3 linked regions of the Mus musculus genome follow. The protein of the gene in region 2 purifies or fractionates together with the protein of the main gene of each other region. This does not show direct contact. Links are inferred from orthologs where the notes say so. Each region holds a gene or a part of one and is shown on either strand. Other genes may lie near its edges. The genes, in order: Bbs7, Bbs12 and Mkks.

Region 1 (3,647 bases), about 700 kb from region 2:
TAGAAAAAAATAAAACGATAAATAAGCAAATAAATAAATAAATAAATAAATAAATAAATAAATAAATAAATAAGAATACAGATAGCCTCTTATGAAACAAAGCAAAATCTAGAAATCAGCTAGGTAACTTCTATCTGGTTGCTTGCCCATTCCTACTTTGTATATTTTGCCACAGGATCTCATATACCCTGGGCAGATCTCAGACTCCCTACAAAGCTAAGGATGATGTTGGTTTTCTGATTCTCCTGCCTGCACCTCCTGTGTGCTGAGATTTCAGGCCTGCTCCACAACAATGGGTTTATGTGGCACTGGGTTTCAAGCATGTTAGGCAAACATTCTACCGTTTATTTATGCAATGAATTATTTACTGAGTATTTTATTCCATATGTGTTTGAATGATTGATAAATTCAAATTATTTTTTGCCTCCTCTTCTATCCAATTTTCCTTTTAGTTTTTGAGGACTAGAAAAGTACTGAAGGAGCAAGTGGGGACCATGTGGACAATAGTTATTAGTATCCAAGTTCTCTATCTAATGGTGGGCATTTCGGACTGGGGATGCGTGAGTGGAAGGTAGCTGTTTCCCTCTCTGTATCTATTCTAAAAACGTTCAAAAGATGTCAGCACATTTCCTGGAATAAGATAGAAGCATTAAAGTAACCTTAAAGCATATGGCACTCACAATGGTTTACTGAATAGTGAAGAGTCATAAAAATTCAAAGGGCATCACCTGTAAGACTCGGAGCACCCGGTCCTGGCAGGCCAACACCGGTGTCACGCGAGATAACTTTTCCACAGGAAGGCAGATGACATCATTGATTTTGTCCCCAGAAAGGTAATAATTTTGGTCTTTGCAATCACAGTAGTGATTATAGATGTAGCTTGCACTGAGGAAGAGGTCAGAGCCAGATATGTACCTGAAGACATTAACATGATAATTTAGGATGGTCATTTTAAGCACAGGCAACTGACTGTTTGTTTTTTTTTTAAACAGGTGAAAACAGTTTACTTGCATTTAATAAAGGTAAGTTTTTTGTTTTGTTTTGTTTTGTTTTTTCATTTCACCCACTTAATCTCATGTACCCTCTCTCTTTAAAGACAGGTTCTTGAGCAGTTCTAGGCTGTCCTTGATCTCAGCCTAATGACTGAGGACAACCTTGGAACCATTATGCACTGGCTCTCCCCACTAAGTGTGGGACTATAGGCACAAACCATGCAGCTTTAATCGTTAGCCATTTGATGCATAAGCCACTTCTAATTCTGACAACCTGACAACCACCAGCAAGGACGGTAAGTCAGGATTCTCAGTAAGGGCTCAGAAAAACTAACAACACGTGTCTTCATTTGTTTGTTTTTATAAAACAGCATCAATCGAGAAACTTTTTTAGTGTATTTCATTTGCCAAACACTGTTCTAATTGATATACCCAAAGTAGCACATTAGCACTCAATTCTATAAATGGTTAGTATCCCTTTGATAACCGAATAGCAAAATGTGCCCAGGACTAATGGCTCATATTGGAAATGAGAGATGGCAGGTGGGGGTAACTTCCGCTCTAGAGTTAGCTTCACATTCACGCGCCTAGGAAAGTACACCTCAACTGATTTTAAGTGATGAATGCATGATGGAAATGTTTTCATTAGGATGTTATCTTTGGAATAAGTTCATTTATAATGGGCTTTAAGAAAGTGTAGCTAATAATCACAGCAAGTTTCTAATTCTTGGTCTACAAGATCATTTCAAACACATTATATATTTTTAAAAACCATCTGAAATCTTTTTCACGTGTTGCTGTTGGACTCTTGTCTCACTTCACAAACCAGATGTTTAAAGTCCTCAGTCGAGAGAAGTGCCGTGCACTGCACAGAATGGCACAAAGCTTCTGTCCACCATAGAGAGATGCTGTCAGCTAGGAGTGTCCAAACCAGGCCTCTGGCTACATGGACCACTTGGCTGCATCGCAGCGAAGGAAGAAACTTAAAAGCCACTCCTAGTCACTCTGCTTAGCAAGTGTGAGGGAGGTGGCTGCTGCCAGTCTTCCTAAGACGCCCTTGGGTTAATAGGGTTTAGAGAAGAGGAAAAAGGGAGGGAGACGTGGCTGGGAGGGACCGTGTGAGGGAGGGGACCTGGGGGGCAGCAACTGACATATAGAGTGAATAAATAAATACAAATGAAAAAAAAAGGAGGGAAGTTACATGAACTTCATGGCCTCCCTAGCCCCCATGGCTCAAAAACTAAAAGTTCAGGACTGACGAGATGGCTCAGAAGGCAAAGAGCTTGTCACGTAAAACCTGGTGGCCTGCATTCTCGCCCCAGAACTCACATAAAGGTAGGAGGGTCACTCTGTGAACTCGTCCTCTGATCTCTACCATAAACCACAGCCCACACAGGCCCATCTCTGTTTCTTACCCTCTTGCCCCACCACCTGATAGGAAACAAAGTCTAAATTTTTAACTGTTAAATTTCACATGCCAGGAAGCCTTGTATTTTTCATGTAGTTTTACCCAATTTACCAGAAATTACAACCATTAGTGGCCATCAACTTTAAAGAATGGGTTTTGTTTCTTAAGACCAGGTCTCACTCCATAGCCCATATGGTTGGTGAATTCATTATACACCACAAATTGGCCTCAAATTTGTGACAACCCTCTACTTCAGTCTCCCAAGTATGGGGATTACAGACAAGAACCACCACATTCAGGGACCAGACACCCTTTTGATATAATATCGTTACCTCAAAACCAGAACTACCACAGGCACTTGAGGAATAGGAACCTGTGTATCTAGGTTGTTCTTTTTTTAACTTTTTACATATACCTTGTCATTACCATAATCATAACTGAACCAGACAGTGAAAACTGAATGTATACAACTTCACACTTCAAAATAACTAGCAGAGAGGTTTTAGAATGTTCCCAACATAAATTGTCAGAGGTGATGAGTATGCTAATTCCTCCAATCTGACATCACATATCATATATACATATTAACGTGCCTCTGTGATTTATAAATGCACACAATTACTATATATCTATGGAAAATATAAAATATATTTTAAAAAATGATCACAAAACAAAAAGTGAATGTGAGTGCACAGACACACACATACACACATACACGCATATACACACACATAAAGACCCAGACACACACACACACACACATATACACACACATAAACACCCAGACACACACACACATACACACAGTCACACACAATGTGAAGTTGAAAACATTTCAACTGTCAATCAACGGTGTATTGATTCCAGGTTCTGAATAATGAAATGCCTGTAGCCAAATTTCTTTTCCAGAAAAACCTACTAGTGTATACTAACTTAATCAGATGTATGATAGATACATATGTAAACATAAAAGAGAACAAGACATACATAGCTTTAATGCTTTCCGTGAGGTTAGTTTCAAAAGAGAGAAACTGTTTCCCTCTCTTTGTAAAGCCTCTAATCTCGGACCCTGCAGCAATGAAGATTTTCTCCTGAGGCGTGTTGACGGCCCCTCCTAGTTCCAGCCTCGAGATCTTCTGCCCTGGTAAAGTCTTGAACACTGGCTGTAAAAATCAATTGGGGAAAAAGTTAAGTGTACAAGTTATTTCACTGTAAACATTTTCCTGTACTATAAAAGCTATGATTTT
Region 2 (4,275 bases):
TAGATTATTTAATGATTGACTTGGGACTTATTTTCACATATGGTGTAAGGCAGAGGTCCTTTCACATGTGGGTGTCCAGCTGTTTGATACCACCTGTTGAATCAACTATTCCTTTTCTTGCATGTTCTTAGTACCTTTATCAAAAATCAACTTGCTATACATACATGGGTTTATCTCTGGGCTGTGAATTCAACTGTATTGGAAGAAGTAAGCATTTTGTGCCAATACCATGCAGTTATAAAAACCGTAACTTTCTGGTAAGTTTGAAGCCGAGAAATCTGTGTTTTAAATGTTCCTTTCTTTACATTTGTATTTGTAATTTGCTATACGCTGATTTCTTTGGAGCCAGCAGTCTCTCTCTCCCTTCATGAGTACCTAGTTAATAAAAACAAAATGTTGAAAGGACATGTTTAAAAGTCTGGCTGCATGCAGCCCCCCAACCACTGGAGCAGTGACTGGATGAGCAGGGCGAAGATACCAAGTGGAGGGGACTCCCCCTCCTCAGAGAAGGGGACCAGAGCATGGGGAGGATCTGTGTGAGGGGATATTGGGAGGAGATGGGGGCTGATATTGGGATGTAAAGTGAATACATTAATTAATTAATTAATAAGGAAAAAGGACATGAAGAAGAGTCTGGCTGTTTTTCACTGCTAAAACTTTCGAGTTTACCTTATACAACAGACTTGACACATATTACAAATGAAATCACAATAAAAATGTAAGGTTGGCATTAAAATAATTAACCTATTTGTGGAAACTAAAGCATGATTACTGAATAACAGACACAAAATCTCCTATTAAATAAAAGGGTAAAACTCCATATAACTACTGCCAAGTTTATGCTATCTACTGTATCAACTATGTTTTGTTTCACTTTCAGTGTGACAGTAACTTATCATCTCTTCCTTAGAAATCTTCATTTTACTCTTTCAAACCCTTTGCCTCCTAAGTCCTTAAAGATGTTTATCATTTGTTGTGGGTGGGTAGGGGGGTGGCATTAAGAGTTCTGGTCTCCTTTCTAGAGTATGTTTAAATGGTAAGAATCAAGTCTGTGAGTGAGAAATAATCCAAAACAACTGGAAAAACCCATAGGTATTTCAAACTCAGTCTGTATTGAATTATGTTAAAAAAGGTTTTCCCAGATAAAAGGATGGATTTCAACAATCTGCAAGAAAAGTCTTATACAACAGATATCAAAATTAATACTCACAAGAGATCTTTTAACATTTGAAGACTCTATTTCAATTTTGACTAGAAACTGAAGAAGTATCTTAGCATCCCTAACTTGGGAAGATTTCTAAATGATTCTGAAGAGACTCCAATAGGCTATTAGTAATACAACTCAAAATGTCTTATTTTCTAAGAGGTTGGATGTGAAACAGCAATGGCAGTAACAGGGATGGGAAGATGGGCAATTTCCAAAGTGACCAGGCACCTCTGGTAACTGTTCTTGGCACGGCACTAACACAACCTGATTTTTGTTCTGCTGTGACTGGCACTAATGCCTTCCACAAACAGGTCAGTTCTGTTGCTCGTCAGACTGTTTCCTTAGCTTTCTATCTGCCACGGGAGAGCAAAGTCAGATTATGTAAATGGCATACTGACTTCAGAAATTGTCTTTTCATAAGATCACATCTCATTTGCTTTTCAGGGGTTACGTTTAAAAGCTCTGCGTTTTTTTGATAGGTATAACTAGGATTTTCATCTCCTCAGAACTAAGTCTGGTGTCCTCTCCAGTCTACTCCTAACACTATAATCTAACCACAACACTCCACTGCTTAGCAGCCTCTCAGAAAATAGTCTTTACTCCTGTTTAGCACAGGGAGTTCCTATAAAAGTGAGTCACATCCTTTCACTTCTGTACTGAGAATCTTACAAAGTCTCCCTAACTCACTCACATAAAGGCCTTGTCCCCACACAGCACGAAAACCCACACTTCTTCCTTTCTGACTCATCTGCTGTGCTCAGGCCTTCTCTGTGCTTTTAGACTATGCAAAGCATGCTCCCTGTCTCAGTATTTCTAAGTGTCCCTCTTTCTGGAATGTTCTTCTTCAAGGAACCTACTGCCTAAGCTATCTTTAACCTATCATAAACCATAACCTCTAACACTAGAACATCCAAATTCCTAAATCATGGTGATGTAAGATTTATTTAGGTTTAGCAGCCTTTTGATAGTCATCAGATCAAATGATATTCAGGAATGTCTAAAAGGCAGCTTCCACCCCCCTCTCCTCCCCCCCCCCACCCCGGTGTGTGTGTTTGTGTGTATGAGCGCGGGAATGCCTGCCTATCTGTCTGACTAATATTCGTTTCTGGGTTTCAGAAATCTATTTAAAATTAGTATTAATTATGACTCTGAAAACTGTCCAAGTGTAACTTTTCGGATGCGATACGTGCCTTGAAAAAAAACCAATAGATTATAGGTAAATGATTTAATACTTTACTTCACTCACAAAATATTATGACTTTACATCCTTTGAGTTCCCATTGGGAAAACTTAAGGCAGGAAAACTGGCTTCTACCATAAGGACAAACTTACCCCAGGAACCTAAGGAGATTTAAGGATTACAACCTGAGTGTCTGCGACGTGAGGCAGCGGCTTTGGGAATGCGCCACGTTTTACTCAGCACACTAGGAAAAGATTGCTTTGCACTGTTTTCAGCCCAGGAGAAGGCCCACGCCGTCCTCGGTCCCAGGCTGGCGTCCCGCCCCGCAAGGACGCCCCCACCCACCCACCTCTCGGGCTCCATGCCGCCGCGCGCCCTCGGGCGGCTCTGGGCCGGAAGGCCGCAGGGCTGTTGGCCCGGTGTGTAAAGAGTCTGGGGACACGCGTGACGGAGCACTCGCCCCCACCCTCCCTGGCTTCCTGCCCCTAGGGTCCACGACCCTCCTCACCACGCGCGGATCTGCACAGCGCCGGAACCCAGCCAGTCCCGCCTGCTTGAGCGCGGTCAGAGCTCTCTTGTCTTTCCATTGGGCGCAATGGTCGTCAATCACGGAAGCTGGTGGGCGGGCTTGCGCGCTGAGCGCTGCTATAGCAACCGCCTGTCGGGAGCAAACGCGGGCCGCGGAGGGGAGAGCGGCTGTTGCGCGGGCGCGGGCAGGGGCGCAGGGAGGGGATATGGTGAGTGCTGTGGGACCCTGGTGTTCTTCCCAGCTTACTGCCTTCCGTGTCAGGATCTTTAGTAGCTAAGCCAGGGAGAACAGAGATGGGTCTCCCTTTCCATTTATCCACCAACGCCTGCAGTCTATGAGGGTTGGCCCAGCGATAAAGAGATACGACCCTGGGGCACGGAGACCACTGCAGACAGACTTCAAGACAGGGAAGCGAGCATAGCAGAGGCCATCAACCTCGGGCCACCAACATCCTGCGGGCCATCAACTCAGCCGCTGAAGGAACAGGAACCACTGAGGGTCAGGGAGCCACCAACTCATCTGCTGACTGGAAGTGGGGTACCTAGCTAACCACTGATGATCAGGGGACCAGCAATTCTTTCACGGAGAGGAAGGGGCCCACTGACTCAATCCTGATGGCCAGGGGCTCATCAACTCAGGCCACTCAAAGCTAAAGGGTCACTGACTTCTTGCTGAAAAAAAAAAAAAAAAATGATGACTCAGGTGACTTCCCTAGGCTCTAGAAGACCACTCAGGCCACTCAAAGCTAAAGGGTCACTGACTTATTGCTGAAAAAAATGGTGACTCGGGTGACTGCCCTAGGCTCTAGAAGACCACTCAGGCTCATCAACTCAGGCCACTTAAAGGGTCACTGACTTCTTGCTGAAAAAAAAAATGGTGACTCAGGTGGCTGCCCTAGGCTCTAGAAGACCACTCATCAGAATCTGCAGCTCTAGAACCAAGAATCCGAAGTGACCACAGCCAATAGGCCACTTAGATCCTCAGCCACCTCCAGGGCTTCCCCACTCCACTTGCAGAGAGGAGAATCTACAGTGATTCTGTGACCTACTTTGGTGACATAAAGAAGCAAACAGCAGACAGATCCTTCATCTTCCACATGTTGGGTGTATCCGCATAATTGGTCAAACATTCTCATGCGTATCTGTGGAGCAGACGTTCACCATAACCAGGGTTTTTTACTTTTGTGTTTTTGTGGTGCAGGATGATTGTGTTCTAGTATGCATGCCCCTGTGCTGTTTGCTGCTTTGTGGGTTCTTTTCTCTTCCACTCTTTCCTACTCTTTAAACCCTCTAATGCTAGATAGGAGAGAGAGAAAAAGAGTAGAGGGGAAAGGAATGGCGTTATCATTAAACTACTTCC
Region 3 (4,357 bases), on a different chromosome or scaffold from region 2:
AGAGCAAATACTTAGATGACATAAAACTGTCTCACAACTAATTAAAACAACAAAAACCAAACTGATCTGAGTCATGAACAACAACAAACTTTCTTTCCTTCCAAACTGCTGTTATACCTGTATTTTATTGGGGGGGGGGGGTCAGACAAAAAGAAAGAGAAAGCAGGGCTGGAGAAATAGATCACTCAGTAGCTAAAATCTTTTGCAGAGGACCCACATCCGGTGACTCAAAACCATCTGCAACTCTAATTCCAGGGGATCTGACAGACCTTTAGGTCTTTAAGGGCACCTGCAACTCAGTGCACATATCCAACAAGGAGACACACATCTATACATAATTGAAAACAATACAAGATTAAAAATATACTAAGCTATCCAACTCAGAAATCTGGATATAATGTATTCTACATTTCCCCTCACTCTTCAAGACTGTCCACATCCTGACATCTCAGATGATCTTCCTAAGATGCAGTGACGACACTTAGGACCTCTAAATGACTTTCTTGTTTTGTGGTCTCATTATCAGTAGCACTAGTCACTGGGGAACTTAGTAGAAATGTAAATTCTCAGGCTGAACAACCACAGAAGCCAAACTCCAGGGTAGTGTCGAGGAACATTTAATACGATTCTCAGGAAGTCCTAAAGCTGAGTTTACAGGCGACTGTTTTAGTGACCTCGATTGTCACTGAAAACCTTTATACTCCTAACAGGGTTACAGTTTAATCTGTTATTACAGCATACAAAGGCCATCCAGATTTAGTTTTTCCCAACGAGTTTTCAGAAAATCGAGTAAACCAGGTCAATATGGCTGAGTCATAAAGCAATAACTTAAAGGGATGAACTGTAGATTCCTATCGCCTGGACTTCAAATCTCCCCTCAATCCTCTTTACACCTGTACTGTCTCAGCTAAGTCACTGGCAAGAGTACTAATGAGTTCCACATCAAGAACCTGCTGTGCAATACACGCTCCTGCCGCAGCCTGGACTCAGTGATAGATAGGTAAGGACTGGTACTCAGTGATAGATAGGTAAGGACTGGTACTGTGCTTTGATCACCGGAAAAGGGAGGATGTGTTTTTCCTTTGCCTTAAAAAAAAAAATGTTGTTGAGATTCCATGAGGCAGGGTCACATGTAACCTGTGCTGGCCTCCAATTCATTATGCTAGACAAGAAAATGAAAATAAAATATTCAGCTGGGCGTGGTGGCGCACGCCTTTAATCCCAGCACTTGGGAGGCAGAGGCAGGCAGATTTCTGAGTTTGAGGCCAGCCTGGTCTACAGAGTGAGTTCCAGGACAGCCAGAGCTACACAGAGAAACCCTCTCTCTAAAAAACAAAGAAACAAAAAAATTAAATTAAATAATAAAATAAAATTTCAGATTCTCAAGAAACAGGTTTTGTGGTTTTGTGTGTGTGTGTGTGTGTGTGTGAAAGTGTGGAAGCCAGGTAAGCAATGAAGGAAATAAGAAAACTTTTACAGCACAGAAAAGCTGCAAAGACAGAATGGATGGCACTTATGTTTGTCTGAGGACAGTTAATAAAGAGTTGGCAAGTGATCAGATGTGTGAACTTCTGGATACCTAATCTACATATACAGAGGTGTTAGGCAATACCAGAAATTTTGAGCAAACATGACAATCAACTTTAACTTCTATTACAAATTAGTTATCTTCAGAAAATTAATTAGAAACCAGTAAATAACAATAACGAAAAACCTCCAGACCACCTCACATCCAAACTATACATAGTTGCTTATTTGGGGTAATCTCTCCATGGCAGGTTGTGCATGTTTGATATCAACAGACACTAACCAGACTCTGTGTCCACTGAGGTGCCTGGGTCATGTTCAGAGAATAAGGGGAAAAAGCAAGAAATGATGAGAGATATGTAAATCTCAGAAACTGGCTAACAACCCGAGAGTAAAACTCCAGAATGACAACTGTCTTTTTGCTTGCCTTGAGTAGTTTAGGCTGTTCATTTCCCCCAACGTGTCAACTTATTGCTTTCTCAAGATGCCAGCAACTGTAAATAACGTGCATTTTAAAGGTATTTCCAGTTCCTGTGGCATTATGGGTCTGTCATTTCAGTTACAATTCTTGTGCATGTGAGTTTGAGGAAGCTCTATTCAAACTCTACCTGATATTGGTCACTCCTCCTCACCCACACTGATCCATCATCAGATAGTCACATCCTGAAGCTACTTTGTTTTTATTGTTGTTGTTTTGTTTAGTTTGTTTGTTTTCCGAGACAGGGTTTCTCTGTGTAGCTCTGACTGTCCTGGAACTCACTGTGTAGACCAGGCTGGCCTCCAACTCAGAAATCCGCCTGCCTCTGCCTCCCAAGTGCTGGGATTAAAGGCGTGCACCACCACCGCCCCGCTCTGAAGCTACTTTGAAAGCTGTCCTTGGGCCAATCCGGTAGCCAGGTGCCTCTGTATCCCCGCCCCCAAATACCCTTGTCCCAACCACTCGCGACCTTTCCGTGCGGGGACGCGGTGAGGCCGCAGGCTGGCTTCTCCACCAGCGGCCTGGCCCCTCTCACCTGCCCACCAGCAGCTGCACCTCTAGGTCAGGCCACCTTCACCACCAGAAACCAGAAATCGCGCTTGCACAGCAACCAACCACGCAGCGGAGCGCCACCACCTTTGCCCTGCGCGGCAAGAAGGCGCATGCGCAACTCTATGCTCACGCGCACCACCCCTCCTTCCCCCGCCCCTCTTCCGGGGTTTGCGTGAAGCTCCCGCAAAGGAAAGCTGCGGCCGTCACCGGAAATCTTACGGGCAGACGTGTATTCTGTCTGTGCGCGCTACCAAAATTGAAAGGTCACATCACATCACATCACAGCACCAAGAAGGTGGCAGAGCGTGCGGCTCTCTGCTCTCTCGAAAGGTATTTGTAGAACGAATGAAGCTGTTACCAGTCCTAGGTGGCGTTTCCTCTGTTCTGACCAATCACAAGGCGCCTTGCCCTGTCACTCAGTTGTCAATTCCCACCTCTCTCAGGACGCCCTAAGCTGTAGAAACTGGCTCCGCCCTGCCGGTCCGAGTGACGTCAGAGAGCGAACATGCGCAGACAGAGCCTGTCGCCATGCAGGAAACTTCCGCCCAGTCTAGGAGCGGGGTTGGCAGAAGTCGGGAGTCTTCAATTCAGTGCCGGATCCGGTTGGTTAATTTCCTTGGCTTTGCCTTTCTTTTTTTTTTCTTCAGAGATAAGTCTTTTATTCTTTTGAACCACCCGAAGCATTATGAAATTATGTTTAAACATATTTTATTTCGCTTTTCTCTGGCACCGTGAAAGGCACCTTTATTTTTCAACGTATCTTTTAATCTTCCTCATTAAAAATATTTTCTACTCTTGCCCTATAGTTTTGTGATACGAAAAACACGGCTTTTGTTGTTGTTGTCCATCAGTACATATCGTTGACGTACAGTGATACATTATCTGCCAATTGTATTTGTGGCTTTTCCAACCTCTTAAAAAAAAAAAAAAAATCCGCTTTGGCCGCCATTTTTATTTTGGTCTCCATAAAGCGTTGATATCATCGACAGAAGCCATTTTTCGTTTGGGCAGTTCTTTCCGGCTATCCCATTACCTTAGCCAGGGCTTCGGGCGCCATCGTAGGTGCTGGCAGTGGCTTCCAACCGAATGAAGTCGATAATGCCATCTTGTGTTTGGGCGCTGGTTGCATTCTCTAACGTGCGAGGGGACGCTGGGAAACGGGAAGTAAGCCAAAGCTGCTGAAGCTTGGTCTGCCGCCTTTTTAGTCTGAGTTTTCCCGTTCAGGTACTATACTAGTCCACCAGTGACCCCGGACAGTAACAAAGCATTACAGCCCGAACCCACCTCCCGCCACCATCGTAGGTAAGAGCGTGTGATACTTCGTTCGGATAACCCAGCTCTTCCCTCAGTTGGACCGAACTGTTTGGCCATCTTATACCAATACGTATTTTTGTTTTGGATTTTGGGACTTAACACAATTTTTCTCTTAGGTATTCCTTCTCTTTCCATTAGAATTGTTAAACACCACTGTTCAGGAAGACTGAGATTTAAAGGGACAATAACGTTGAGGGAATTTCCGTAGAATAACAAAGCAAAATGGATGGAACAGCAAATTTGATCATTAATTGTATGGCTTTCTGCATCTATAGAGGTGAATATAGCTCCCAGAGGACTTTAAAATGTGATCAGCTGTGTTTGTATATTCTTCCCATTCATTCATTCATTCATTGAATTTGTTGAATACTTAGCTAGTTTTGTGCTATAAAATATAGAAGTAAACTTCAAAACAAAACAAAACGAAACCTCCTTTTCATCCACTTGCTTTGATATATCCAAAGCTGGGACCAGGAACATAATGTT

Evidence for each region.
Region 1: the proteins of Bbs12 (region 2) and Bbs7 purify together in Homo sapiens (co-immunoprecipitation; 3 studies listed by BioGRID and IntAct, counting the BioPlex papers as one, with this or other methods). This does not show direct contact. The link is inferred for Mus musculus from reciprocal best matches to the Homo sapiens genes BBS12 and BBS7.
Region 3: the proteins of Bbs12 (region 2) and Mkks purify together in Homo sapiens (co-immunoprecipitation; 4 studies listed by BioGRID and IntAct, counting the BioPlex papers as one, with this or other methods). This does not show direct contact. The link is inferred for Mus musculus from reciprocal best matches to the Homo sapiens genes BBS12 and MKKS.

The regions. Positions count from the first base shown.
Region 1 is NC_000069.6:36,606,793-36,610,439, forward strand, and holds part of Bbs7 (Bardet-Biedl syndrome 7 protein homolog), read right to left. Parts: intron 3,564-3,647; coding exon 3,388-3,563; intron 916-3,387; coding exon 729-915; intron 1-728.
Region 2 is NC_000069.6:37,311,206-37,315,480, reverse strand, and holds the start of Bbs12 (Bardet-Biedl syndrome 12 protein homolog), read right to left. Parts: upstream 2,928-4,275; 5' UTR 2,896-2,927; intron 2,824-2,895; exon of another isoform or gene 1-2,823. Other genes in the region: Cetn4 (centrin-4), read left to right, coding at 3,122-3,124. UniProt on the Homo sapiens protein: Component of the chaperonin-containing T-complex (TRiC), a molecular chaperone complex that assists the folding of proteins upon ATP hydrolysis.
Region 3 is NC_000068.7:136,888,503-136,892,859, forward strand, and holds the start of Mkks (McKusick-Kaufman/Bardet-Biedl syndromes putative chaperonin), read right to left. Parts: upstream 2,905-4,357; 5' UTR 2,541-2,904; intron 1-2,540. UniProt on the Homo sapiens protein: Probable molecular chaperone that assists the folding of proteins upon ATP hydrolysis. Plays a role in the assembly of BBSome, a complex involved in ciliogenesis regulating transports vesicles to the cilia.